Xenopus tropicalis: one gene and its partners. The protein of the gene in region 1 interacts with the protein of each later gene in a biochemical or structural test. Links are inferred from orthologs where the notes say so. Each region holds a gene or a part of one and is shown on either strand. Other genes may lie near its edges. The genes, in order: apba1, htr2c and cntnap4.

Region 1 (10,011 bases):
AGAAAAACTCTCATCGTGAGTTAAATAACGCAAAGAACATCGCGTCTTAATTATAACACCTGTCCTTTTAGTGAAGTCGCAAAAAATAAGAAGCGATAACATTTTTAACGCATGCTATAAATAGTGCTAGTTTTATCGCCCTTTAGTGAATCAACCCCTAAATGAGCCACAAAGATCAATATTAAGTTGACGAACAGGTACCTTGTTTTACAGTGGGCTTAAGGCCCTTGTAATCCGTTATCTGGAAACCCTATCCAAAAATTCGGAATTACGGAAAGGCTATCCCACCTAGACTCCATTATAAGCAAATAATTCCAATTGTTTACAAATTATTTTCTTTTACTTTGTAAAACAGTACCTTTTACTTGATCTCACTTAACATATAATCCATTTGGAATTAATTAATGTATACATGATATTTAAGCAGCCTTAAGGTATGCAGATCCATATTAAGGAAAGATCCTTTATACAGAAAACCCCAGGCCCTGAGCATTCTGGATAACTGATCCCATATCTGATAGCTGTAATTGAAGCTGCCATGTAAATCTACAATCAGTTGATTTTTAGTTTTTAGAAAAAAAACTGTCTGTCAGTTTTGTAATTTAGTTTTTTTTTTTTTACATATATTTATATATTAAAGGAACAGTAACACCAAAAAATGAAAGTGTATAAAAGTAACTAAAATAAAATGTGCAGCTGCTCTGCACTGGTAAAAGTTGTGTGTTTACTTCAGAAAGTCTACTATAATTTATATAAATAAGCTGCTATGTAGCCATGGAGGCAGCCATTCAAAGGAGAAAAGGCACAGGCACATAGCAGATAACAGATAAAACACTATTGTATTCTACAGAACTTATCTGTTACCTGCTATGCAACCTGTGCCTTTTCTCCTTTTTCCAAGCTTGAATGGCTGCCCCCGTGGCTACACAGCAGCTTATTATATAAATTATAGTAGTGTTACTGTAGCAAACACACCAGTTTTACCAGTGCAGGGCAACAGTGCATTATATTTTTATTACTTTAAAGCTCTTTCATTTTTTGGTGTTACTGTTCCTTTAAGTTAATGAAAGTTTTTTTTTTTTTACTTTGGGTGTTGTACCATACATGGGTAAAGTGCAGCTCCATGTGTCTTTGTAATTTTTTTTCCTTTTCTGTATTAATGACCAGGCTTTTGTTATTGATGCAGACCGTGTTCAAACAACCTTCTTCATCATGTATTTAACTCTTTATATTTGTGTTTTAATGCTTTTAAAGGGGAAGGAAAGTTACAATCAAATGTTGGGCATTTTACACCCCCCTCATTGATTTTTACCTTTCCTTCTCCTTTAAATAACCAGTTTCTGTAAATGGAAAACTCCATAGCAGACATGCCTTTCTAAGTTTTGTAATAACCTGTTCTGCAAAAACCACAGGGTAGTTCTGCAGAAAATTTACATACATAGTGACCCTTTAAAGGAGAAGAAAAGTAATTTTGCTGACGATGAATTTGCCACATTAGTGCCACCTAGAATAAATATTCTGCAGAAACCATTACCATACCTGAGTAAACAGTTTTAGAAGCTTTCTCGGTTTGCTTGAGATAGCAGCTGCCATTTTAATTAGCTTCCTTCCTGCTCCAGCCCTTATAGCTGAAATCACACATTCCTAATGGAGAGGGAAGGGAGTTCTAAGCATTCTGGTGGGAGGGTGGAGCAGGAGAGGGGAGAAAAGAGAGAACTGAGCAGACTCTGGCCCCTGGAATTAAGGTTGTTCCTGAGAGAGGAAACATCATGTTTACAAAAAAAAAGAAACAAGAAATCCTGTGTTCATTTTGATAGAGGACTCAGTGTAGCATTACTTTCTTTTTACCTTTCCTTCTCCTTTAAGAAATGTATGTTCTATTGTAAAGAGATATTAAGCAATAAAATGTTCTTTCTGAAATGCTGACATAGATATATGGTTTGTCTTTGTTTGGGCTATAAAGAAATGTAGGGAGTTGTTCATGTAGCTGCTTTGTTTGATCATTTCTGCCCCCAGCCGCATTTACCTATACTCAACTCTGATTGATTGGCTGTGCCCCCTTTTTTATGAGTAGGGAACAAGCATACTTTTCTTCTCATCATTTGTTCATAGCTTATAACATATAGAGATATATAAATGGCAGTTGATGTATTTGACCTGCTAGAGTTACAAGTATTCCCAGCACGGCAAATAAGCATTGATTTCAGTGTCTACCTCTCTGACTTTGTTTGCTCCCCCACCATCCTTTGTTTTGAGGGGTTAGCCTCATAGTTTGGGAACCAATGTAAAGGTACTTATATGATATGCAGTGTTCAATATACATTTGCTGTGCCATCGCTATTCTGTGCATTGCATGGGTAAACTGATCTCATGTTTCCTAGTTGGCTCGTACCCAAAGAAATGGAGACAGATACAGAAAACAAGCAAATAAAAATGCAGCAAATCCAATAAAACTGTATAGAGTGCATGCTAAATAAACAGCATTATTTAAACTTGATTACTTTGGGTTGATTGTTATTCTTACCATTAAATCTAATACATTGCCGAAGTTGTGCAAGCTGTGAAATTTTAAAGTCACAATTAATACGCTTTATTGCTTTGTTTATAGTGTAACCTTTAAAACAAAGTTAAAGCAATATAATGCTGTAACCTGTTTTCTTTATTTTATGTCTTCAAGCTATACCAGCTCTGCCAGATTTTGATTTAGAATAATAATGTATTTGCTGCTGTTATTCTGTTCTGCAGTCTATAACTGTTCATACATCTACATTGGTTTCCTGCAGTGTCCAGAGAACTGCGTGATGGTATTGTATTGTGAGTAAATAGATGGTAAAAAGTGAGGATGCTGGGAGGATTTCTGCAAATGCTGCTTTTTAATGGGTTTGTTTTGCTTTAGGGTATTAAACAGAAAATGCAGACAGACTGAGAAGTCCAAGCAGGTTTTTGTTGGCAGGGATTCATGACCAGTGAGAGAAGATAACAAGATGTTTATAAAACACTTAGATTCTGAATTCTTAGATTTTAATGCTAATGAGCACCATGGTTGCTTGCTGCTAAAACCAGATTTCAATTTTTCTTTTTTAGTGCAGAACAAAGATGTTTATACTATAAGACTTACTGCTGTGAACCAGCCATGAACCATTTAGAGGGATCGCAAGAGGTAGAGGTGAGTGATGAGCCTGGAAGTGCAGACATTAATGAGTCTGTGGAAGCTGACCTTGAGCACCCAGAAGTCGAAGAAGAACAACACCAGTTTGTTCCCCCTAACTTGCGGCAGGTATCTGAAGAGCAGGAGGGACAATCTGGACAAGAGGAAGATGGCACTCTTGCCCGATCTGCAAGCACAGAGAGTGGTTTTCACAACCACACAGATACAGCTGAGGGGGATGTGATTGCAGTACAGGCAGATGGATATGATGTGGACCGAATCCAGGAGAATGATGATGAGAGTGCCTATGCTATTCAGTACAGGCCAGAGTCTGAAGAGTACACTGAGAATGCAGAGGCAGAACATGGGGAAGCTCTGCACAACCGAACTCTTCCTAATCACTTACACTTCCATGGTCTAGATCAGGAGGAAGCTCTAAATGCGGCCTACTCTGGATATGTCTACACCCATAGGCTATTTCATAGGGGAGAGGATGAGCAATATGCGGAACCTTATGCAGATTATGGACTGCAAGAGCATGTGTATGAGGAAATAGGCGACACTCCTGAACTAGATATTAGGGAGGGCCTCAGACTTTATGAGCAGGAAAGAGAGGAAGCTGACAACTATCGGAAGGAAGCACTTGGTGCACGCCTTCACCATTATGATGAACGTTCTGATGGGGAGTCTGACAGCCCTGAGAAAGAAGCAGAATTCGCACCGTACCCAAGAATGGACAGTTATGAGCAAGAGGAAGATATTGATCAGATTGTGGCAGAGGTCAAACAAAGCATGAGTTCTCAAAGTCTGGACAAAGTGGCAGAGGACATGCCAGAAGCAGAACAAAATCTGGACATAGTAGAACCTTCCAAATTGGGAGGTGGAAGCCATGTGACTAATGGAAATCTGTCATCTTGTTCCAAAACATCTACAAGTACAGGAGAGGTACAGAGGTATAGCAAGGAAAAGAGGGATGCCATCTCACTAGCCATTAAGGACATTAAGGAGGCAATTGAAGAAGTAAAGACAAGGACAGTCCGTTCCCCATATACTCCTGATGAGCCAAAGGAACCTATCTGGGTGATGAGGCAAGACATTAGTCCAACAAAGGACTGTGATGACCAAAGGCCACTAGGTGGAGATGTAAGTATATGTAGTATGCACAGTTTTATAACCACCTGCTTTCTGCTTATATAATGTGGCACGTGGCATTCAATGTCAATGCATTTATCTAATTAGTATGCAAATTTTCAAAGGCAAAAAAAAGTTTTGTTTATTTTTTATATTTAACATCATACATATATAATATATGTCTATAGAAAATAAGGAACTTTTCCATGGTTTTTACAATTCAGTTTTTTTATGACAGAATATAAAAATATGAATCCTAATGTAACTGGAAACTCTATTTCTTAAACACTCCACATGAAAAAATTCTTGCTTAATTGATAGTTGAACACAGTAAAACTTCTGCACACCTTTTACTTGTAGATACTGTGCTCCCCAGTCCCTGGCTGTTTCAAGTTTTCAATATAGTGCTCAAAAGAAGAAGAGAAAGGCAGAAGGGGAATTTACTGTGGGTTATCACCCTACATCATTTATTGTGATACAGAAATTTAAATTACAAAAGTTACAGCATTCTCTGTGCCTTCGCCCCTTCTTTTGTGGGCTTAAAGGATATCAACACATTATTAGACTTATCCACAAACAAATAAGCACATGTACTTTTTCCGTTTGGAATGTATTTAAGGAATAAGAAAAAGTGTGTGACACTAGTTTGCAGTTACCGTCAATATTACCTTCAGTGGTTTCAAGCTAAACAGTCTTTGCAGAGGAGAGAATATTTTGTGTTGAGATCTGCCCATCTCAGTTTGTTTATATTTTGAATATTTGTAGACAATAAGAAATGGCTGTTTTCATAATGGCTTTTCTTCTCTTCTGTACAAAGAGTAGTAAGTCATTTAACAACCTATTCCTATTCATTTTGGAACCCATCTTTTAATTTTTTAAATTTTAAACACCCTATGGGGCACATTTACTTACTCACGAACGGGCTGAATGCGTCCGATTGCGTTTTTTTTCATAATGATCGGTATTTGGCGATTTTTCGGAAAATTGTCGCAACTTTTTCGTAGCCATTCCGAATGTTGCGCAAAATCTGGCGATTTTTTCGTAGCGTTACTACTTGCGCAAAAAGTCGCGACTTTTTTGCAGCTTTCGTGCCGAGTACGAAAGATTCGGATTCATTCAAGCTTCAGTATGGTGACTTTTCTTGGGCCAGGTTGGAGCTGCAGGGTGCCATTGAGTCCTTCCAAAGGCTTCCAAAATCATGCTAAGTCTGAAAGTTTCACCCGCCGCTTACGAGCGCTCAATACGAAAAAGTCGCGGCAAGATACGAGCGCATCGTAATGGCTACGAAAAACTTGCGTTTTTTCTCGCAAATCATATTGGTAATGAAAAAGTTGCGACAATTTCCGTAAAGGCGGCGAAAAAAATCACAAAAAATACGAAAAAGTCGCAAAATGTTCGTTTTCGGAATTTTTCCAATTCGGATTCGTGGGTTAGTAAATGTGCCCCTAGGTGTGTGTCTGCAATTCCTAAGTAGTAGTTGCTTGGGGTAGCTTCACATCGGGATAGGAGTCTTGAGTCAATATGACTCATCTACATGTACTAAATGGTACTTTTCTTATGTGAGGATTTCCTGAAACCTGCAAGCCAGGCGACTTTCAGAGCGGATCACTGGTACTGGTCTAGGGTTGCCATCTTTTCTTCTTTTTTTTTTTTTTTTTACTATTGCACCGACCTTTGGATCACTAGGAATGGGCAGGGGCAACACGTGGGGCGGGGAAATGGGTGGATTGGGCAGAGTATAGGCAGGTCTGGCCTCATAAAAGGTCATTTGTCAGAGGTGAGGGTCAAGAAACGGAGTGATTTGTAGGGTATTTCAAATTTACTGTCAATTACATTGCCAGTAAATTTGAAATTATGGCCCCAACCCTAGCTGGGGATTTACCGGCTGGGCTGGTCATAATATTGCCCAGGCGGTAACCCTATACTATATGGATACCAGTCCTATCATTGGTCATTTGTAAAAGGTCACAACTGTTTCCATCAATTTTACGTGACACCTGAAAATATATTTATATAAAAATGGATTTACCACATCCAAGATTCAGTTTTGGATTTAGATAAATGCTAACAATTTTCAGATTCAATTGATTCCCAGCAAAATTCAGATTCAGCCAAACCCTAAATTTTCATTTTACAGAATCTGAACCCATAATGACAAATGACTGTAAAGATTCAGACAACGGTAAATATTTTTGTTTAAAGAAGATCCAGTTTTGTTGCATGTGCCTGTCTATAAAGAGGAGCACATGTCATTTTTGAAGATGTTATTAAATCTCTCTGTGAGAGCATACTAAAAATCAAAAATGTGTCTCTGGATTATATAAATCTAATGTATTTTGGGTTTCACAGTACCAAAAACGTGATTTACAGAGAAAAAAAGTCTAATGTATGCAGGCCAGCAACAATGCTTTTTGTAGAAATCTTACAAGATAAACAACCTCATTTTGTGTTTTTTAAACAGATCCTGGTGAGCCTTGATTTACACAGTCTTACATAACAAAATCCTCCTGTTGTGCCAATGTGCACCAAGGACAAAGGCAATACTGACTCCTAAACCCCCCCCCTAAGAAATTAATCATATATTTATTTTTATATATATATATATTTTAAGTATAGTAAGCATAACACATACAACAGAATCCCACGGAATATAGAAAAAAGAACTGAAAAATGGAGACTAGAGAAAGTATCAAAGAAACATTGAAGGAAAACTATAACCCCAATCAATGTAGGTCTCCATAAACATATATTGCGTAAACAAGCTCATATGTAAAGCCCCGCTTCATCTAAATGAACCATTTTGATAAAAATATACTTTTTTAGTAGTATTTGCCATTGAGTAATCCTAAATAGAAAATTGCCATTTTAAGAATTATGGGCCGCCTTCTGGGATCATAGGATTCACAGTGCACACAAACAAGCCAAGGCACACATACATGCTAGGCCACATCAGCCAATCAGTGGACAGAGATCTGTCTTTTGCTTACACACTTCTTCCTGTTACAGTTAGAGCTGCATTATTTCTGGTCATGTGATCTCTGAGGGAGTGCACAGCCAATCACTAAATGGTGGCTCAAGGGAAAGGATGTAAAAGGGCAATTTTTTTTAGCTTACATCTGGAAAGGGTAATGTTCACTGCTTCCATAAAGGGTAGACAGGTCCACAGACATCCAAAGCAGATCAATGGCTATTTTTATCCTATTTTATTATATTATTCTGAATACAATGGTGTCTGCTTTGTAGTGGAAAACAGAGTTTTAACATCCTTACAAGGGGGTGGGATATTGGCCTCTGTGTTACAGTTGCTTCATTGGATGAAGGTCTGCTTATAAGTAATAAAGTAGAAAAACAGAACTGGTAAATAGCAGCATTGTGGTCTTTAGCTGGAACGCTTAAAGGGGTTGTTCGCCTTTTGAGTTAACTTTTAGTATGATGTAAAGAGTAATATTCAATTTGCAGTTGGTCTACATTTTTTTATTATTTATAGTTTTTTTTAGTTACTTCATTTTCAGTTCAGAAGCTCTCCACTTTGGATTTTCAGCAGTAATTTGGTTGCTTAGGGTCCAAGTAACCTTAGCAACCAGGGAGTGGTTTGAATGAGAGACTAGTATATGAATGAGGGCCCGAATTGAAAAAAGTTTAAAAAAAAGTAATAATAATAATAAAACTGGAGCCTCACAGAGCAATAGTTTTTTGGCTAGTTTTTTGACCCCCATTTAGAAACTGCAAAGAGTTGGAAAAAGAAGGCAAATAATTCAAAAACTATAACAAATAAATAATGGAAGCTATTTGAAAAGTTACTTCAAATTGATCATTCTATAACATTCTAAAAGTTAAATTAAAAGTGAACCACAAGAAAGGTAACAGACCATAAATGTATGTTAAACTGTGCAAAGGGTTAGATTTTAGCCAGAAAGTGTTCATATCTGCATTTTTGTGGCTTTTTAAGTCAGTGGCTACCTGCACAAGTGGATTGGGGTGGTGTTGTCGTTAACTGCTCTTTATTTTTTGCCATTAATAGTAAATCTTTACAGGGCCATTACATTAACATGTGGCATATTATGAAATAAATAAAAATATGAAGTTTTTTGTTGCTAACTAAAATCACAGGCTTACACCAATTCTTATATATTTTTTTTTCCCTACGATTGTCCCACTGAAAGAGTTGCTAAATAAACTGCAATTGTGAATGAGTAGTTTTACCCTTTAACTGTAAGCATGTAATGTATTCAGTTTTTCTCTTCGCATTATACTTACAAATTCATCAGATACAGCATAAATCAGCCGTCTGATCCTCACTTTAGGGCCAGTGGATCAGCTGTTGAATCTAAATGAAATAGTCATGCTTCTGTTAGGCTCATTTGTCTTAAAGGCTGGCACTGGATTGACAGATATTCAGTGAAACATTTCTGTTTATTTTCTGATCTGCCATATAAAGACAGTGCCACGAGTTGCTGGTGCCTGAATTTTATGCATCTGCTCAGTCTGAATTCATACAAAATCATCCTGTACATGTGACTATGCAAAGAAATATTTTCTATTCCATTCTTTTGTCCAAACTTGTTTGTTCCCTTACATTTTTGATGGGTTGTAAAAATGTATGTCGGGTGTCCAATTATTAGTACAGGTATCGGACCCCTTATCCGGAAACCCGTTATCCAGAAAGCTCCGAATTACGGAAAGCCTGTCTCCCATAGACTCCATTTTAATCAAATAATTCAGAATTTTAAAACTGATTTCCTTTTTCTATGTGGAAATAAAACAGTACCTTGTAACTGATCCCAACTAAGATATATATAATCCTTATTGGATGCAAAACAATCCTATTGGGTTTAATTAATGTTTTATTGATTTTTTAGTAGACTTAAGGTATGGAGATCCAAATTACGGAAAGACCCCTTATCCGGAATACCCTTGGTCCCGAGCATTCTGGATAATGGGTCCTATACCTGTAATAGAATAAAGTATGCTTAAATGCTAGATATAAAATACTGTAATATTACTCACAGGTATTATATTCATAAGTGTTTTGTGCTGTCCTTTGTGTACTGTACATTCCACCATATAACTTGTAGTAATTAGCCCAGTGCATACCTATTCCTTATTGTTATTACTATTACTACTTGTTATTTATCAGGGCTTATTATCTGGATGAAGAAGAACAAAGAATACAAAAAGGTCACAAAAATATGTGCATTCAGCATTGGTTTTTTAACCGTAGATAAGAACTGTACAAGTCTCATCATGCACTCATGAGTATGTCAGTGAAACACAACCACAAACCAAAAAGCTGGCAAGTTTTATTATGTCATTACTTACACATATTAAATATAGATGTACCTTCTATTTGTCTATTTTACCATGTATGTGGTATACAGCCAAGCAAATTGTTAATCACTCACTTATCATGCTGCTGCTATGTTCCTTCTGCCCAGTTCTAAAAAACTATGTGATAAGTCATAGAGGGAAATTTATAAACCTAGGAGCACTTTGGTCCTATCACAGTAACTTACTGTATCATTATGGTACTGTATTTTATTTTCCCTTCAGGACTGTGTTAATTCAGGAAACTCAAAATTACAGGAAAGCAGTCTCCCACAGACTCCATTTTAATCAGATAAATCATATTGTTCCTTTTTCTTTATAATAATAAAACGGTATTTTGTACTTAATCCCAACTAAAATATTTATAATTAATATAATTAATACTTTTGGAGGCAAAACAACCCTAT
Region 2 (10,668 bases), on another chromosome or scaffold:
TTTTTGACATCCTTGGGAATGAGATAAATCTACGCATAATTGCAGAAAACTGCTTAGTACAGGCTTAGTATAGAATTCAAACTTAAGTGCATTATTTCTCTGACAGAAAGTGGTGCAGTTCATCTGCAAGTACTAACAAGGTTAAGTCCCAAATCACAGCTCAAACACATATGTAATCCTTCATTTAAATGTTACTCTTTCTGAAAACTTTGAGAAATAGTTTACATTTATTTCAAAGAAAATGTCTGTATGTAGGGCATGAAGCCAATACGTTTCTATAAATATTAAAGCATGGCATAAAGTACTTAATGTTTGAATAGTACTGAATGTTATTTATAATAATACTATTCATCCTTTCCATTCCATCCCATTCCATATTTGCCTTAATATTTATAAATGGTTGCCTGGGGTGAATAACTCTACAAGTGCAACTGTCATGTACCACGATGAGCCAAAAGGTGATAAGCCTCCCCTACACTTCCCACTGAACCTGAACACTGGGAATGGGAACAGTAAAGTGTTAAAAATTAAACCTTAGTTTTAAATGATTGTGTGATGATTGTTTGACCAACCATGGAGATATGGGCCCCAGGAGAAACATGTATTTCTAAAAGTTTGAGTATACTTCTGTTTTTATTTCAGTATATTCAGCAGTGAATGAAATCCCCATTATGCCTACAAATACGTGGCAACAAATTCTAAAAATTATGGCGACATAATTTTTTTTTGTTTTTTTTTTGTTTGCAATATATCTTTTGAACAGCAACATAATTTAGCATACCCAATGCTTACCTGTGACCTGAGTTGCTAAAGTCCTGGACTGAGTCTTTACATGAGAATAACTAATGAATGATATTAGAATTCAAGTGGAGACGTCAGCAGTTTGCTTTAGCATACATTTTCTGTTTTCCACTTTTATTTTATTACATTATTGACATAATTTGTGTTGTTTTATGCTTCATGAAAATGAATGCATGCAAATGTAATTACAGCAACTTTGTTTATAATAGGGTTAATGTACCCAAATTGTATATTTATATGAATATTATTATGTAAATATTTAAAAGCTTGAGACCACATGCTATGTGATGTATATATTATCCATCATTAAGCCTCGGTAAAAGACAACATGATGGTTAAAAATCAGTGAGAATTAACTTCTATCTGTCCTCCCTCCCAATACTTTTCCCTGCAGTGGTGTCTTCCTGCTGCTATAGTCATACATGGAATTCTGCACTACCTTGAATTTTTATTAGGAGTTTTTTTTTTATTAGTGCCTTACATTGAAAGAAACACATCTCCCATGACAAAACATGGATCGTCTGCTAAAACAAGGGTATCTGTGGCAAAGCAAAAAAGTCACTATTGCAGATGAAATTAATAGAAGACTATAATAAATGTCCTCTTACAATAGACAGCATATATCCTGCTATACACATTGCATTGCCTTCCAAATGCAGGAGCATAAAAAAAAGATCAGATAAATTTGGATGGATTTTTTGTTTTTACATCTACATCCAACAATCAATGCATTTCAATAAGTAAAAAAAGTCTGTCAGACACCATGAGATTTTATATCGTCAGATAAAGATGCAGCAAGCAGCGTTTCCTTCTGTTATGCATGTTGTGTTGGATGGTAATAGTAACATGGAACTATATCTGACTTGTTGGATGCATTCTATTGATCTGGTTCCATTCTACAACATCTCCTGTGGAGTTTAGCCTTTATAGTAACGCAAGAACCAAGAATTTAGCCCTCACTTACTTAGTTTGACATTTACAGTATCCGAACCTTTAAATAAAAGTGCAAAATACAGTGGTGAAGGATACTATAAATTCTACAATGTAATTAGGACATACTACTATTCACATTGCGTAACCTGATCATACAGGACAGTTTATAATACAGGTATGGTATCCCTTATCTGGAAACTCGTTATCAGAAAGCTCCATGTGATTGTATGGCCATCTCCCATAGAGCCCATTTTTCAATTAATTAATATATTATAGTGCTGAGGTATTTGTTTATGAAGTTTATAGTTTTTTTCAGCAATGCAAAATTAATAAGCAACCCTCATTTTCCCTTCTCTTCAAATATCACGGCGTTATATTTTTCTCTCAGAACAGATGGGGAAAAAATACCAGGGTTGAAATATGAACCCTAGGGAAACCCAGAAAAATAATTACATATAAGAATCTAAGACCCTCCCAGTTGGCACAAGCAACCAGGCATTTCATAGAATTTTAAGATAATAGTATGGCAGTGCAGTAAGTAAAGCTTGAGTCACTGGGCTACAAATGCACTAATTGGCATATTTGTCCAGCAAGTTTGCATGTATATTAACTAGTATGTAAACACGTTTGCCTAATAATAGAATGACTTAAAATTTGGACACTATATCAGGGGAATGTAATAAAAGTTGTTAATGGACAAAATATTAAAAATGCTAAATTGTATTTCTTTGTGTGAACAATTTTTTCTTTGCATTGAAGTAGTAAAATGATACGCTGTTGATGCATACTGTATATTTCATATTACTTTCTACTTTATAGAACTGGTGGTTTTTACCTGCAACAAAGTGTCCATGGGATTCTGTTTTATATAAATAAAATTTAAAGGCATATATTCAAATTTTACACTTAAAATGCAGAATCTACAGAAAAAGATTTCTTCCAAGTGAACCCCAGCACACACACATAGACCCATTCTGACCTATCTATACACTCACAAGCATAACCTATATATACCAACATTAATACTAACTGTAGATATTAGTATCACAATAGCCTTGGATATTATGCTTGTTTAAGAACTCATCCAGGCCCCTCTAAAAGGCATTAACAGAATCTGCCATCACAACATCACTAGGAAGGGCATTCCACAACCTCACTGACCTCACCGTGGTGGTTACCTTTCAAATGAAAGTTCTATTCCTCTAATCTAAAGGGGTGGCCTCTAGTGATGAGCGAATCTGTCCTGTTTTGCTTCACTGGAAAATTATATTTTTTGACACAGGCAACAATTTTTTGACACGGGCAACATTTTTGCCACCCATTTCACAAAATAATTCACCAAAATCGAAACAAGGAAATTCACCACAGATCCATGCCTGGCAAATTATTTCGCTCATCACTAGTGGTCTCTGCTGCAATGATCCTTTTTATGGGAAAAAAAAACTTTTCCTAACTGTCTATAATCCCTGTACTTGTACAGAGTAAATCATGTCCCCTCGCAAGTGCCTTTTTATCCAGAGAAAACAACCCCAACCGTGACAGTCTAACCTCATAGTTTAAATCTTCCATCCCCTTAACCAGTTTAGTTGCACGTCTCTGCACTCTCTCCAGCTCATTAATATCCTTCTTAAGGACTGGAGCCCAAAACTGCACTGCATACTCAAGGTGAGGCCTTACCAGGGACCTATAAAGAGGCAAAATTATGTTTTCATCCCTTGAGTCAATGCCCTTTTTGACTCAATTTATATTATTTCAACCAAAGTACATAACTTTGCACTTTTCAGCATTGAACCTCATGTTCCATTTTGCTGCCCAGTTTTCCAATTTTGCCAAATTACAATGCAAAGTGGCAGCAACCAATATGTACATGTAGATTGCTGCTTTATACAGAAAAAAAACCCAAACCATTTATATAGAAAATGCATGTATTTAACTGATGCTTGCTCTGCTGGAAAAACTCTATTAACTGATGCATTTTGAAAAGAGTATTTCGTTAAACACTAGCCTTGTCTTTTGTTAGCCTTCACCCAAGTTCAACACAGTGTTAGCAGCAATAAGTTCTTTATAAAAATGTTATTTCTTTATTTTTCACTCTTTGTTTTCCATGTTTTAATATCTAGGATCCAAGATTCAAACCAAATCCATATAGAGGAATAACATGAACATTCATGTTTTAAAGGATGTCAGAAGGATTGCTGTTCATCAACATGTTCCTTAATGGAATATACAGAAAGCATGCAATGCTGGTGGCCCTAAGAGACAACTGCCCAAAAACATCAGTGGTTATTCAGCAAGGTACTTCTTTTTGAAGGAAAATCAAAAGTTTAGTCATCTGTGTTTAACCATACTGCTAAGCAAAATTGCTATTTTAGATTTGAATTACCTTTACCTACTTTTAGAAAGCTTGTTTAAATTATGCATTAGAATCTACCAAATTTCTTTAATGAAACAGTGTACAGTGTATAACCTTTAGCAGCACGGACAATTATGCTAAAATATGAAGGAAGTGAAGACTTTTTAACCACGTAAGAAGACAATACTAAGGCATTTTACATTGGGTAGCTGATGTGGGATATGCACCCAGGAAGTAAGTGATTCTGTATGACCGCTGGCTTCTATCTGTAATAGGTAAACCATGAACTACATATTAGCTGATGCAGGATCTATGAATGCAGGTTGGTCTGTTATCTACAACAGATACTTTAGTGTTGTACTGTATATATGTATGTATGTATATCTTTATTTATAAAGTGCTATTTATGTACACAGCACTGTACAGTTGAATAGATTAGCACAAAGTATAACAATAAATACAAGGTACAGTTGCAATAAGTTAAGAATCAAAGATACAAGAGGATAGAGGTCCCTGTCCCATAGGGCTTACAATCTAAATGTGTTGCTGTGATATGTAATGCAGCCATATGTTCTTTAATGATGTTCTGATGTCACAGGAAAATAGAGCAGCCAAAATATCTCACTATAAACTTCAAAATATAACTAGCAGTATACCCAGAGATAGGTTTTAAATAGCAGAAGATCAAGTTCACTGAGATTTCAATATGTTCAGATGTTAAAAATGTCATTTCTAATTTTAGTGTTGATTGGCCAGGAGTATACATTGTTTCATGTCATTATTGTCATGTTATTATTTATTCACTGTAGTTGTTTAATGTCACATAATATAGTATATATTCTACTTTCTTTTCTGCACGGTGTCTCCAATCCTATGTAGTATTTTGTTTGCTGCTTATTTATTTTTTGTACACAGCAGAGAACTCTAAACCTCTCTCCCAGTTGATGCTTTCTGTCTAGAAACAAAGTACTAAATTGAATTGAAACAAGAAAATAAAGAAGAGGAGAAGCGAGACCAGTCAGAATGTTTTGGGTGGTAGGATTAATAAGGTTAGGAGCAAGATAAGGCTATAAGAAAAGACCAGGCTGGTGCATATTTAAAGGTTTAATCACATGATTCAAAAGTGAGCAGGCTGAAGTATATGGAATAAACGGACGTATAGCGATGAAGTCTAAGTTAAAAAATTCCATGGATGCCTTGTCAAGCCTGTAATATCTAACCAGTATTCCTGGTGTAATCACCGCCAGTTATCATGGAAAATGTATAATGGAAAGTTTCTTGCTTAAAGAATCTCCATAGATTCCTTACAGTATCTTGTCCACTGAAAGAGAAAACTCCTTATGTTCCCCACTTTGTGCAAGAATTCCCAGGATTTTTTTTGAAAAGCCTTGCAAAATGTGTTCTGCCCCCCTTCTCCCATGTTGAAGTAAATATTGTAAGGGGATATGATGACTGTTGCAACTTACGTGACAGTAAGTGACAGTGGGAGCACAAGCACCACAGTCAATAAGCAGGAACAACCTTGTGACATTTGTGCTTTGATGAATTAATAATTCTGCAAAAATAATATTTATAGAGAACTCTATGCAGGGCTGGAAATGAGGGTAGGCAGGGTAGACACACAGGGGCACATTTACTAATCCACGGACGTCCGAAAGCTTCCAAATGCGTTTTTTTCATGATGATCTGTATTTTTGCAATTTTTTTTCGTCGCCGTAGCAATGTTTTTGTATTTTGCGCGACTTTTTCATCCCCGTTACGACTTTATTGTATATTTTCTGCGACCTTTTCGTCGCCGTCGTGAAAAATTCGGATTGGTTTTTCCGCCATTTACTATAGTGAAATATGAAAAAATTGTGGCGGCGACGAAAAAGTCGCGCGAAATACGATAAAGTCGCGACGGCGACAAAAAAGTCACGCAAAATACGAAACAATCGCAACGGCGACGAAAAAATCACAAAATTTTTGTTTCCAATCCGATTTTTTCTCATTCGGGATTCGGATTCGAGGATTAGTAAATGTGCCCCACAGAGTAGGGAAATACTAAGGGGGGACGTAATTTGAAAAAAAATTTGACTGGTACCTTTAACTCCTACTGCCAGCAGGTGAGTGAGGGAGTGGATGTGGAGTCACTGGATAAGCAAGTAAAGAGGGAAACTGTTGTAATGGGTGGTATGGGAGTCAGCAGTCAGGGTCAAAAGATACTTGCCAGGTGCCAGTACCTCTTTTCCCATCTGTGATTCTAGTTATCGACCTCTAGCCTGTTACTCACTATCCTGACTGCTGTCTCTCCTGGCCTGTGCTCCAGCTTTACATTATGATTCTGCCACACCATTGGGATCTGGCTTTGTCTGTTCCTTAGTACCAGCTTCAGTATTGTCCCATCTTTTTGGTTCTGGTTGCCTCACAGCCTGGATACCTGGTCAATTGTGTTCAGTGTAACTAGGGGAAATGAAATAGATCTTATTTTGCTACAATGATTCTATTTAGCCAGTTACCTGGCATGGATCATATAATATATAAACATATTTGTTACGCATTAATATTGTTAAAGCGCTAAATAATCACTGCGAAAGCAAGTCAGCACCCTTTAACAAATACCATATAAAAGTGAGACAATCTGTGGTTACCCAGAAGCATTAAGGAAAAAAAGTACTTTAGCAAAAAACAAACTTGTAAGAATGTACTTAACTCCCACACAACACACAGCAGTTTTATAGAACAAAATTAGCCTAAAACCAGAAATGCGAGCTGCTACGAATGAGTATGAAAAATGGGTTTAGTGTAGAGAGCGTGTACTGAATGACTTATATTTTAGCAACTTGTTTATTTTTCAATTGGCTACTTATTCCTCTGGGATTATTTTCACATCAGTTTATGCAGTTATTGTACTTAATTGTTTTTTAACCAAGCTATGCAAAATTATATACATTGCAGTGTGAAGGGTACAAGACAAAATGTTGTTTAGTTTTGTAAATCAAATTTATTCCTTGGCAAATTTGTGTTATACAAGACTTAAATATTACTCAATTGTAGACATTGTAATACAACAAAACAGCATCAGAGGGGGCAAGAAAAGGTGAAAGAACTAGGGGAAGAAAGATAAAAATTATTATTACAATTAAAATACTCCCACCACAGAGCTACTGTATATCAGGCAAAGGAAGAAGAACAGCAATTCACACTTGAGTTGTACCTTGTGAACATAAGATTAACAGGTCACATTTGCTAGTATAAACCAGGTTTCATGTGATATTGATAAAAAATAATGGATTGCTGAATGTTCTTTCAGAGAAAGCATTTTATATGTAATTGAAACTATAAAATGATTTGATTAATGTATGAATTATATATTAGAATGAATGAGATCATTATGAATTAATTTGAAAAATGAATACCCCTGAAGCATGATGCTACTATCAGATATGCAATTTCTTTCTTCCTTATCAACTCTTTGGAAACTTTTGTAATTACATTTAAATTGTTTTAACTTTACAATCAATAGATATAGTTGCATCCTATGCCCAAAACTACAAACTAGCCTCTGCATTACTCACATTTTCCCTCATATTTTGTCATAATTAAAAAGAAATCACATTTTTCTCAGTAGACAGCTGATACCGTGATCCATTATTTAACATTGTATTTTATCATTCTAATTAATTTTAGCCATCAGTTTTAGGAAAAAAACAAAATAATAGGTACTGTACTTAAACATTTTTAGACTCACCAAGTTGTATTTTCTTTTTATAGTAATGGAAATATTATAAATACACATAACTATACCTGAAATACAAATGTCACCATTTTTAAAGTAGAGTTCTGAATCTTGGCCATTTCATACTCAGAAAGGTAGCTGTGGCTTGTGGGTTATTTAACCTGTTAATGGGTTCTGACATGCTTAGATCCCTTGCACCCAGGTGTTATATTTGTATGTGCAGAATATAAATCCTGGAGGATAAAGTGATTCTGCTCTATAAAAGCACTTTGTTCTAGTTTAACCTGGAGAATTCCTTCTCTAAACAGTGCTATTTGCCTTCTGTAGCCTGATATTTGAATTAGCAAGTATAAATATGGGGTAAAACTGTACTAATTTTGATAATATAATTGTTTCCTATGCATACCCCTTTTCTGATATCATACACAGGGCTAATGTTGTATGAATGAATTAAAATGTGTACCTTTGCAGTTTGATTAGGGCCTGGTATATTTCTGGCACTTAGTATCTCACTGTTTCTGAAGATTAGTGTAGTTCTGCGCTACTGTAGCAACTAAACAACTCGGGTTAAGTCATTAAGGGATAAAGACAGAGGAATATAGTTGTAATATAGCTGCGCTCAGTTTCAGAAATCAGCTAGTCATGGATGGTACCAAATCAGAGCAGAGGAAGGACCCTGATTAATCAAACCAATGTGTGCTGCATGTGGGTATTTCATGTCACAAATACTATCGTAGAATTATGGTTTGTGATCTTTAAAAATCACAAAATGATTACTACAAACATTCAAGTGAAGAGAAACCTAAACAATACAGAACTAATAGCTATTTTATTAGCTATAACAATAAACAAATATGCATTCTTTTGAGGTACCTACTACATCGTATTAAGACTATATTGGTGCTAGCATGATAGCTTCTTACATAGGCCACTGAGCAAACAGGAAACTGTTCTTGAAACAAACAGTGATGACCCTTAAAGGACATTTTCAAACAAAACGCCAGAAAACACGGCTAAAGCAACAAATTCCTTCAATGTCATATAATACTTTGCATGCCACTAATATGCCACTAAAGTTCCATAAATTATACAGCTCTAAAGATGAAGCTTGAAACATTCTGTGTCATGCTTGCTTCACTGCACACTGCTCTGCAATCAAAAAAGGACAGAAGCAAGGATACTATAGGAACAGCATTATATTATATTATATATATACCTGTATATATCTATACCGTTATAAGAAATTAAAAAGCAAGATACTAGTGGAAGCAGAGCTAGTAATTATAGGATATAGGCTGGTGATCTGGTCTGGACCTTAAGATAATGCCACAAATTAAAACAAATTTTGACCTTAATCTAATCTCCCAAATTAAAGTACATACAACTCAAACTGTATCTATCAATATAAATTACATTCAAATGTACAAAAGTCTTAGTCTGAACTGAACCCTGGACCTTGGCATTAAGCAAGCCAGATGATTCTATATGAGTGTAAGAACATAATCATGTTTACTTTTTTTTAAGGGTTCTTTTTAATAGTAGTAATAAACCTCATATAAACCAGGTTTCATGAAATCTTTATAAGAAAGTGTTTTCTTTCTGACAAAGCATTTTATATGTAATTGAAACTAGAACATGTTTTTTTGATTAATTCATTAATTATATATTAAAATAAATGAGATCATTATGAATTGATTTAAAAAAATCCTAAAGCTTAATGCTACTATCTGACATGTCATTTCTTACTTATAAACTCTTTGGAAACTTTTATTTTTAATTACATTTATATTGTTTTTTCTAACCTTACAATCAATAAATATTGATCATTTTGTGCATCCTATGCCCAAAACTATAAACTGCCCTCATATTTTGTCAATAGCCATAATTAAAAAGAAATCACATTTTTCTGAGTAGACAGCTGATACATGAACCATAATTTACCATGGTATTCTATCATTCTAATTAATATTAGCCTTCAGTTTTAGGAAAACACAAAATCATGGATACTATACTTGAACATTTTTAGATTCATCGAGCTGTATTTGCTTTTTATAGTAACAGCATACTGTATGTACACATGACTATGCTTGCATCAAAAATGTCTCCATTCTTAAAGTAGAGTTCTCAAACATATTTTCACATTCTAAATGCTGGGGCAAGTAAAAAATTATCTGCAACATGCAAACTTATCAATTAAGACAAATTGTATTTGCAAACTTGTGATAAATCAAGGCCAGTGAACCTACTTTTTTATTCACTCTTTTATAAATACAGGAATTTCATTCATTTTTTTTTTTCATTTTATGCATTTCCCCTGGGACAAAATGGGAAATTTGTTTATTACTAATAGTGATGAGTGAATCTGTTCCATTTTGTTTTGCCTAAAAATTTGCAAAACGCGTTTGTTGACTTTTTTTTGAAGGGCCTGCACCCATTTTGACATGGCCGTGCCTATTTTCATCCACCCACTGACATGACTGCGCCTATTTTAATGTGACCATGACTTTTTTTGATGTTAAGAATTTTTTTTCACAGCTAATTTTCACTGAAGTTTCGTGAAACAATTCGCCAATGGCAAAATGCGGAAATTTGCTGCAAATTTGTGCCAGACGAAAAATTTGCTCATAACTAATTGCTAACAGAAAATTAGGAGAATTTTGCTAAATGTTAACGTTAAAGCTTATTTGGGAGTTCTCCCCTAGATAAATATTCCTCCAACTAGCATTGGACAATAACTGCTGATTTAATCAAGTGAATTTTAGTTGACTTTTAGTTGGCTTCAATATCATTGATGAAATAATAATAATGAATTGCCTGATAATACTACCAAACACCATCTTTATGAACTTTGAATAAGCCTAAA
Region 3 (10,011 bases), about 7.5 Mb from region 1:
AAGTGAATGTGCCCTATATATATTCAGTCATATCAGTAGTTACTACTGATAATGTTTTCTGGCTACCTATCATCTGCAGGAAGAATTAGGTCTGCGAATTCCAGTTATACTGCTGCGAAAATCAGTTATTTATACTACAAAAAGCCCACACAGTTTGATATCCATGATAAATGAAATCATTTGCATACAGCACCTTGTAATTGATCATTAGCAGGCCTATAAAATGTTAGGGGTAGATTACCGAAAGTCTTCTTTGAATGCAGCAGATGTTTGGAAGGTTTCTAGAAGTGGAATATAGAATGAACTGGCATTCTTTCAGACTAATTTCTTTATTGGATAGAGTACTACTTATAAAATCAGACAATTTGCTGTTCATATGTACCAAACTTGAAACATTTAATTAACTAAATGAAAATGAATTCTACTTTGCCATAATGTTTTTAATAGACACATATGGTTGCTATATTTTAATAAATATTACGGTACTAAAACAATTGCTTTCTTCCTGACTATAAACCAGCATATTATATCTTGTGTTAGCACTTGTACTTTTCTAACATTTTAGATTAAGTATAAAATGAGACACTGGTGCAGTTATGTAGCTAAATACAATATACATGGTTCTATAAGGAGGGATTTTTTTTATTATTATTAAAGGCGTTTGCCATAAGGTATAAAATGTGTGCCCTTTTTAGTAGATTTGTTCATTTAAATATTGTATTTTTATGATAATTAAAGCTAAGTAGTGATGAGCGAATCTGTTCCGTTTCGCTTTGCTGAAAAATTCGCGAATCTTTCAAAAGATCTGCGAAACAGCGAAAAATTCGCGAAACAGCGAAAATGTCGTGCGACCAAAAAAATTGTCGCCCACGGCTATTATTTTGTCGCGCGGCTATTGTTTCGTCGCCTGCGGCTATTGTTTCGTCGCCCGCGGCTATTATTTTGTCGCGCTGCTATTGTTTTGTCGCCCGCGGCCATTATTTTGTCGAGCGACTATTGTTTCGTCACCCGCGGCTATTGTTTTGTCGCACGGCTATTGTTTCGTCGCCCGCGGCTATTATTTTGTCGCCTGCGGCTATTATTTCATCGCACAGCTATTATTTAGTTGCACAGCTATTCTTTTGACGCCGGCGACAATTTTTGGACGTGCGGCAAATTTTTCCGCAGCAAGTTTTTTCAGCCGTTTTGCAAAACAATCCGCCAATGGCAAAACGCGGAAATTCGCCGCGAATCCATGCCTGGCGAAACATTTCACCCATCACTAAAGCTAAGTATTATTAATAGTTTCAGTGCTTTAAATGACACATATTTTTTCAAATTGCAAAGTTCCTATCCAATAACAGGCCAGCCTACAAATCAATCAGTTAGGTACATTGAAGGTCAGCTAGTGTATGACCAATTTAAAGGCCACTAATTCTAAATCATATTTTATGTTTGAGTTACTGAATGGAATTTCAGCTTGACTATATACAAACTATATGGTTCAAACTGCCTTATCTTCTAACGTTTTAATCCCTTTACAGAAACCTATGAGGATTATAACATTAGAGGGAGGTGAGAAACCAGTTGAAACTGCTAAGAAGGCACTGTGTGACATAGCTTGAAGCATAACCAGTCATAATCATGCCTCTAGATATAGCTGCATAAACATAGCCACTAGAAATGCCCAAAGCTTGGACAGATTAATATCATGAAAATGTGTAGGAATCTTCCATACCAAGCAAAATTCAGCAGGAACATTAAGGTTTTTTTTTTGTTAAATAGCAACTGTTTTACATAATCCCAATGCCTGTGGAAGGTACTTTGGGTTTAATAATAAAAGAAAGAGAGATATTTATCAAAATTGTTGAATGTTATATAATGATTAAATGTCAGATAGACGGCAGACAGATGGAGCCTGCAAAATAAGACAGATTCACTCATCACTACTCAGAATGATCTAGTAGTTAACCACAGGGCTAGTTTATCAAAGATTAAATCTGAAATCCTACACATTTCCTAGAGGAGTTCTAACCATTTAATCTTTCCTAGAACTATATAAGATAGATCTGATTGGCAAATTGATTTGATCAAATCAAAAGGTCATTTCAACAGGTTTGGTTATCTCAGACCTTCCAAAATAATCACCAGAGTTACTGGATTAGATATAAGTCTATGTACAATGTTAAGTGAATCCATTATCCTGGAAGTGTTTTATTAAGTGATCTATCAAATTCAGTCAGTTCTGAACAGTTCATTCTAACGTGTTCGGGTGCAATATTAGGTATAATGTATTATGACAATCATTATGGAATATTCTGAATTCATAACTGATGCATTTTATAGGAAGGAAGATACTATCACCATACTATCCTAAAGGTGCCCATACACGTGAAGATCCGCTCGCTTGGCGAGGTTGCCAAGCGAGCGGATCTTCACCCGATATCCCCACCTATGGGTGGGTGATATCGGGGAACATGTACAGTAGGCCCTGGGCCCCAAACAATCGAATTATAATGGCAGCAATGGGGCAGTCGGTTCAGGGACCGCATCAACGAGCTGATTCGTTCCCCGATCCAACTAAATCTTTTAACCTGCCCAATCAATATTTGGCCAATTTCTGGCCAGATATCGGTCGGGCATGCCCCTCGTTCTTGCCCCTACACGGGTCAATAAGCTGCCGAATCGGTCCAAGGGACCGTTATCGGCAGCTACAATCGGCCTGTGTATGGCCACCTTAATTAGCATAAAGGAAAATGGGAAAATATGGGAAAAATACAATGTCTATATGATAATAGTTTTGTAATTATAATATATATATTTATTAACTCTCACATGATCCATACTCCCCTTAGTAGATTTAGGAATGCTATGGGTGCTGCACTAGGTTGTATAACACATTAACCTGTAACTACTGTGCGAACTCCACAGTAGATTGGACCAAATGTTTGTCTAAACAAAAAAAAAAATGTAAAATTCTGCATGTGCATAAAAGACACACTTTATTATGGAAGACGTAGGTTTTATAACTTAATACTTTAATTCTTTTATCTTATACAGGTGGAACAGCATCAAGACAGAAAGGATTTTTAGGATGCATACGTTATTTAACATTAAATGGAATTGCCCTTGACTTGGAAGAAAGGGCTAAAGTGACCCCAGGAATTAAACCAGGATGTCCTGGACACTGCAGTAGCTATGGGAACCTATGTCACAATGGAGGAAAATGTGAAGAAAAGCACAATGGATTTTTATGTGATTGTAATTCCTCTGCTTACGGAGGACCATTTTGCAAGAAAGGTACAAACTCTCTTACATTTCTCTAATTGCATTTTAAACTCATTTTTTTTATAAATCAAAAAATCTAAAGAAATGCAATTATAACATATTAGTATTACATGCCTATACTTTGATAAGCGCAATAAACATGCAGACCTTTTTTAAGATGATTAAATCATAATGCAGCACAAGCTTAGGCAAGACTGTATATCATTTTTTTCCATCTATGTGACATAAAAATGACAATAGCATAACATGAAGCAACTTCTATAATGTTTCATTTTAAAAATCTTGTACATTTGCGCTCCACCATAATTTGTCTGTATTAAGATATTATTCAAGTTATAAAGTAGCTTAGTCTACCCCCAGGTTTATCATTACAAGCAGGTACTAAATTGAATAAAGTCATAAATGTCATCATCTCTATCTTGGACTCTATGTAAGTCGTGTTTAATTATTCCCAGGCGTTGATCAAACCAGTCTTTAACATCATTTCCTCTCTCTCTGTTTTTGATTACTTCCAATGAGATTGTGTCTTACACTAATAGAATTGTTCATAAGTGTAGATGTATAATATATTTTTAAATGTTTACAACTTACATAGTTACATAGTTACATACATTTTAAACTTAAAAAGACAAACTTAAAAAAATATTTTTGATAACCTTTAGGATCTTAATTAACTTTTTTGTTACCTTGGGTGATTAATGGTGCAATGGAGAACAGAAAGTCAGAACCCCCCTGCAGATCATATGGTATGTGAACAGAGTGTAATTAAAATCTACCTTTTAATAGCTACAAATAAAGATAAAAAGAAAGGAAAGTTACCTGTAAACAAAACACTTTTGGTTAAAAGTAAAAAAGAAAATGTCTAAGGGCTGAACTCTCACTAACTTTCATAATAGGAAGTTACTATTTAAGCCTAACATAGAGGAACGCAATACAATTAGGTATATACTGTAGACATGAAAACCACTATGCCACCTTTTAGGTATATTTTAGTGTATACTCTATAGTGGCTTTAAGCTTGCAGAGCTTGCAAAGGCATAATTTGTTGCATTGCAAATATTTTCTGTTGCCAACTAGATTTGTCACAATACATTTTAGACACCTATTTCTAGTCTGTTTGAGAAGGATGTTGGTGTTAAATATATGTATTAGAGTGCAAAGCATGGACAAACTGATGTTTATATTGAGTAGATCAATATTAGGTGGAAAATAATTTTAGACTTAATGATTTTTCTTTATAGGTTCTTGATCTATTTGTAAAGGAAATGTGCACTTTGTTTTCTTTTTTTTTCCAGAGATTTCAGCATACTTTGGTGGTGGGTCTTCAGCAACATTAACATTTCCTGAAAATTACACCATATCTAGAAACGCCAGCTGGTACTCTTCTGCTCAACACCCAGACACAAACAGTAGAGAAAACATTGCATTTAGTTTTCGAACTACTCAGTCACCGAGTTTATTACTTTTTGTGAGCTCTTTCAATAAGCAATATATTTCCATCATCATTGCAAAAAATGGTAGGTTCTCTTGTTCATTTTATAAATGCTATTATATAATGTTTTATGGTTAATGAGGTTTTTTTCACTTCAGAAGTTAAACTCTGCAAATCACCAAGATGCAATAGCAAACATTATAATTAAAATTAGCTGTTATCAGCTCTAATAATCTGTTAAGTAACAGTTTACATTGTTCATATCATGTGATAAAAGTTCAGAAGTGCTTCATTGCTAGTAACGTGGTTGGGAAATGTGGTTTTTAGAAAACACTGTTCAAACACAGAAGGCAGGGCAGAATTTAATTGCCTTATCCTTCTTACAACTTCAGGTTAGCATGTTCAGGTTCAGCTCTATGCCTCCAAGGGTCATACAATGTAGGAATTTTGCTAAGTGCTTTACCTGTCACTATGTAGTAAAAAAAACAGTATTCCTAAGATAGTTTGATACTTTACTCTAGGTATTGAATGAAAGACACTGCAATATTCTCCAACACATTGAACAGACAACAATTTTGGGTATGGGAACTGTTATATGCAATTCTTGGGACCTGGTCTAGGGATCTTTACATAACAAAGAAATGGTGTCTTCAAGCTAATTTAAAGCATTAAATAACATACAAATAGGATTGTTTTCCCATCAACATAGTTTTAAGCTCATTTCGTTATCAAGTTTATCAAAGCTTCCCAGACTGGATTTGCAGTGCAAGAATATAAATATTTTGCCTTCGGGGCTGCTTAGAACTGTACTAAATGGTGCACATACAGCGTTGCATGCTGCGCTGTTCACTCTTGAAAAAGTAAATTGCAGTTTGTTCTTTTTATAACTAGGTCAAAAAAGATTATTTAATTACCTACCTCGCAAGGGCCAAACATCAAGGGGCTTCAGTTTTACTGTTTGTCCTGTTTAGTTTAGGAAATAACAAAACCATAGATTTTTTTGTTATTAATACAGCAGGCAAAAAGTACATCCAGCACAAGCCTTACTCATTGCAGTTATATTGAAGAGAGGGTATACAACCCCTTTAACTCTGTTTAGTATTTGTAAAGGAATGTATACAGGGCATAGTCTTGTTTAATACTTCAAAATGTAAGTGATGAATACAAATGTTATTCTTTCAGGTAGTTTGCAGATCAGATACAAGTTAGAACATCATCTTGATCCTGATGTATTTAATATCAATACAAAGAACTTAGTTGATGGACATCTCCAGAAAGTGAGAATTTTAAGAAAAGGAGAGACACTCTTTATAGAGGTAAGAGACTTAATATGAGAAGGTTACTGAGAGACTAAATAGTCACTCTTTAGTACAGGAATATGGAATCTGTTTAAAATATTATATTATTCTTTGACATATCTGCATCGAGCATAAAACAACATGTAAAAAATTATATAATCAGACACCACTAGTGTTTGTTTTAATGAGATGTTTTAATAGTCAGTATAGTAATATATATAAAGTCATATAAGGTATCTGTTCTCCAGAATGCTTGGGGGGGTTTCTGGATAATTGGTATTTCTGTAATTTGGATCTTCATTCTGGATCTAAAAAAACATTTAAACATTAATTTTACCCAGAAGCATTATTTTTCTTCCAATGAGGATTAATTGGCAGTTTTAAAATGATGGATTTTAATAATAAAATTGTACAAGGTGCAGTTCCCAAAGCTGTACCTGCTCTCTCAGATGATGAGTACAAAGTAGTTAGTAATAGGAATATACAGTGCAAGCAATTTGTTTTACCAAGAAGTATTTAGTATTCAGTTTTGGATATGAAAAATAGTTTTTTCACAACTGAACCTTCAAATTACTCTTTTTATTTTCCAAGTTAGATTCTCCCAAGTTTCTTCTTAAGTTTAGTTGCTCAAGTTAATCATTCAAAAACATTTTCACTGGTGGGAAAGCCCCAACAATTCTATGTTTAGCCACAGTTATAATTATTAGTATTAATGATGCCTTTGCTAAAAAGAGAATATTTTGCCGAGTTTATTAAGGACTTATTAAGCACCTCTATTGTTATGAATAATTCCTTATGTCTTTAATACAAAAAAAAGTTCCAATACTTTCCCCTTTGTTCTTCTCTTGGTCATTTTAACCTTATGTTTAACCTTTTCCTTTTTGTATTTCTTAGCATATAATCGAACATGGCATAAATGGGTTGGGGAGTATGTGATAAAGCAATCTACACAGTAATGGTCAAATTTTGACAGAATTCATAGTTAACAGACCTGTGTCTGTTAACTTAATAGTGATAAAAGGCCCACCCCATCCAAAAATTATGATAAAAATGATGAAAAAATTCCACCCCTCTCTATTCATTTCCATGGGATTTTTAGAGGCATATTTATCAAATGGTAAACTCTGACTTTTACCCATTGATACACCTCTAGAAATCCCATGTAATAGAGAGTGGTGGAATTTTACTGTGGGGAACTTTTACCACTGAGGATTAATGTATGTACAATCTAATCACAGGTCAAGAGTAAATAACAAAGTATTATTATAATTGTGAATGTAAATTTGAAGGTGCTTATAATGAGTGAGGGAAAGAAATGAACTTGCCATGAGATAATATTTACTGTATCCTGTAATAAACCAGTCAAGTCTAAATCCTAATCTCCTGAAACCTCATATATAGATTTTATTTAAAAAAAAGGATTTGACCAAGAAATATTTTATTACATGTCTAATTAATATATTAAAATATAATTTCAGGTTAACCAGTATACAGCTGTAAAATTTAGTCTCACATCAGTTACTGAATTCAAAGCAGTTCAATTTCTTATCCTTGGTAAAATATTAGGTAAGTAGTTTTTTTTCCTTTTTTCTTAAAGAGAACACTTTCGATTTATTTTTTTGCTACAACTTTCATAAAATATCTGTAATTCATGATGAAATGTATTTTGCTAGAATATTAGGATTATGTCCAATTATGACCAGGATTATGAGTCCAACAGTAACCACAATGAGTACCTCTTATTGTAAATTATATTTACTGTGTGCAGTGCTGATGCAGTAAATCTGTTGAATACTGTAAAGTAATTATACAAAATACTGAATGTACATTTATGCTTAATTAAAGCAACAATTCTGCATACCCCTGGCTTACCCCTGGCTTATGCATCATTTAAAATTAGAAATCTAGGGACCATGGGGGATGCAGGGCTTTGGGAGTGTTGTATTTAAACCTGCTTCTGACACAAATGTGCTCTGCTTGTGGTTATATTTTGAATCCATGCAAGACGCAGAGCACAACTAGCATGCAGCATGAGCACGGGTGCAAGGAGTAAGTGCATAGTCTCTAAGGGGTGCACATTTGCTCTTCTTAGATTTCTAGTACTTGCACATCTGCTCATCACAAATTAATCGTACTGCCTTTATATCTTTAATGCTAAAAGGTAACCTCCTGGTAAAATTCAATCTTTTTAAAATCCTTTTATTAATTTATGTGATATGATTGGAATTCTTTGGTTTCTTACTGCAGATAGCTGAATAATTCTCATCTTCCCTAGAAACCAAATACCTGTATAGGGTACTAAAATAGAGAGAACGAGCCTTTAAGTGAGACTTGATTGGTAGAGCATGTAATTGAAAACAAGAAGCCAAATTTAAGGAAATATGTAAAAAATGAACCAGTGAAAATTATATTTAGCATGCAGCAGCTGTTCACATTCGATATACTTAATTTAATATTTTATAGTCTCTTTGAATGAAATGAATGTAATAAGTTAAACTTTTTTCACTGTTTAATGTAATAACAGTTATCTTGTGTACTTTTAGTGAATTCCTGCAACTGCAGCCTCCAGCTTTGGCACTGTAAAAACTTCACATTGGTTGTTTTTCTGACTTTTTTATTTTTTACAATGCCAGCAGCAAGTTTCTATCTTCTATATGAAGACTTAGGGGCCCATTTACTAAACAATTTTGAGATAAATTCATATTTTTTCTAAATTATAGAACATTTTGGATGCACGCAAAAAGTTATTTGTGGTTTTCAGTAAATTTCCACAAAAAATTGTATTTTGCACATAGAATACGAACATTTCGGAATTCCTGAAAGCTTTGGTTACACTTTCATTGGGACTATCTATTTACCAGGTTTGATCTGTTGAGTACCGTTGAGTCCTAAGAAAGGCTTCCAAAGCCAGACATGGAAGGCATCAAAGCCAGAAAGGTTTTTGTGGTGTTAACGAACTTTTCGGCATAAAAATTTAAGGCCAGAAAAAAAATGCATCTTAGTAAATGTGCCCCTTAGCCTCCTTCAGATTCCCTTTTCTTGTATCACATTATCAGTCACCCCCTTCTTCCATTATATGTTGAATCCTTTTAAGTAGAAAACATGTGAGTTTGTATCTTTTATCTATTTAGCTAATGAATGTCTACTTGGATAAACAAGGTGTAATGGAAAGATTCATTGCAATATATATATATAATCTTTAGTCTTTTTTGTGATCACTTTACTGCATTTTTTCCACCTCAAATTGCTTTGTAATATTTTAGATATTATCTAATGCATAATGTAATATACAGAGTGCCAATTGTTTCATTTAAAAAATAAAATTCTACATTTTAATTTACAGCAGAAAATGATGAGCTTGATCTGGAGACAATGAAAGCAAATGCTAATGGATTCATTGGATGTCTATCTTCAATGCATTTTAACCATATTTTTCCTTTGAAAACTGTTTTGTACCATGAGAAATCACCACAAGTAATAACAACTGGTCACATTACAGAATCCAGCTGTGGTTCTGTAAATGGTATAGATTCAGCATCAAGTGAATCAACTCATACATTTGCAGGTAAATCCAGGCAATTTTAGAATAATGTCAGTATTGTTTTCACACTGTACTCTTATTATGTCCATCCATATCAGTTGATTTGCCTTTTATCACATTGTAGGAATGACTAAAGCAAGATACCTAGATGGAACTAAGTGATGCGCTAAAGTTGTTTCTTCCACTTTTCTTCCAAATTAGCTATAGGGTTGACAGGAAGTATTGGGCAGTGGAAAAAAATAGGATATTTTGTATAATCTGTCAAAGGCAAGCTAGGCAGAGAACCAGCTAAATCAGAATAAATATATATGACCAGGAAAAGAGAGACAAATGCATTTTGGTTAAGTATATACAGATGAAAGTCAGAAGCAGCACAAAAAGAAATCAATATAGACTTGCAACTCTTGGGCTTCCAAGACAGAAAGAGTGCATTTAAAGGTCTGTAGCTGCATCTTTATATTTCTTTTTTTTTT

Evidence for each region.
Region 2: the proteins of apba1 (region 1) and htr2c form a complex in vitro, tested with the Homo sapiens proteins (2 studies listed by BioGRID and IntAct, with this or other methods). The link is inferred for Xenopus tropicalis from reciprocal best matches to the Homo sapiens genes APBA1 and HTR2C.
Region 3: the proteins of apba1 (region 1) and cntnap4 form a complex in vitro, tested with the Homo sapiens proteins (2 studies listed by BioGRID and IntAct, with this or other methods). The link is inferred for Xenopus tropicalis from reciprocal best matches to the Homo sapiens genes APBA1 and CNTNAP4.

Annotation. Positions count from the first base shown.
Region 1 is NC_030677.2:129,549,429-129,559,439, reverse strand, and holds part of apba1 (amyloid-beta A4 precursor protein-binding family A member 1), read left to right. Parts: intron 1-3,084; coding exon 3,085-4,291; intron 4,292-10,011. UniProt on the Homo sapiens protein: Putative function in synaptic vesicle exocytosis by binding to Munc18-1, an essential component of the synaptic vesicle exocytotic machinery. May modulate processing of the amyloid-beta precursor protein (APP) and hence formation of APP-beta.
Region 2 is NC_030684.2:66,126,169-66,136,836, forward strand, and holds the start of htr2c (5-hydroxytryptamine receptor 2A), read left to right. Parts: upstream 1-3,852; 5' UTR 3,853-4,029; intron 4,030-10,668. UniProt on the Homo sapiens protein: G-protein coupled receptor for 5-hydroxytryptamine (serotonin).
Region 3 is NC_030677.2:137,066,281-137,076,291, reverse strand, and holds part of cntnap4 (contactin-associated protein-like 4), read left to right. Parts: intron 1-3,039; coding exon 3,040-3,279; intron 3,280-4,562; coding exon 4,563-4,784; intron 4,785-5,881; coding exon 5,882-6,015; intron 6,016-7,475; coding exon 7,476-7,563; intron 7,564-9,340; coding exon 9,341-9,562; intron 9,563-10,011. UniProt on the Homo sapiens protein: Presynaptic protein involved in both dopaminergic synaptic transmission and GABAergic system, thereby participating in the structural maturation of inhibitory interneuron synapses.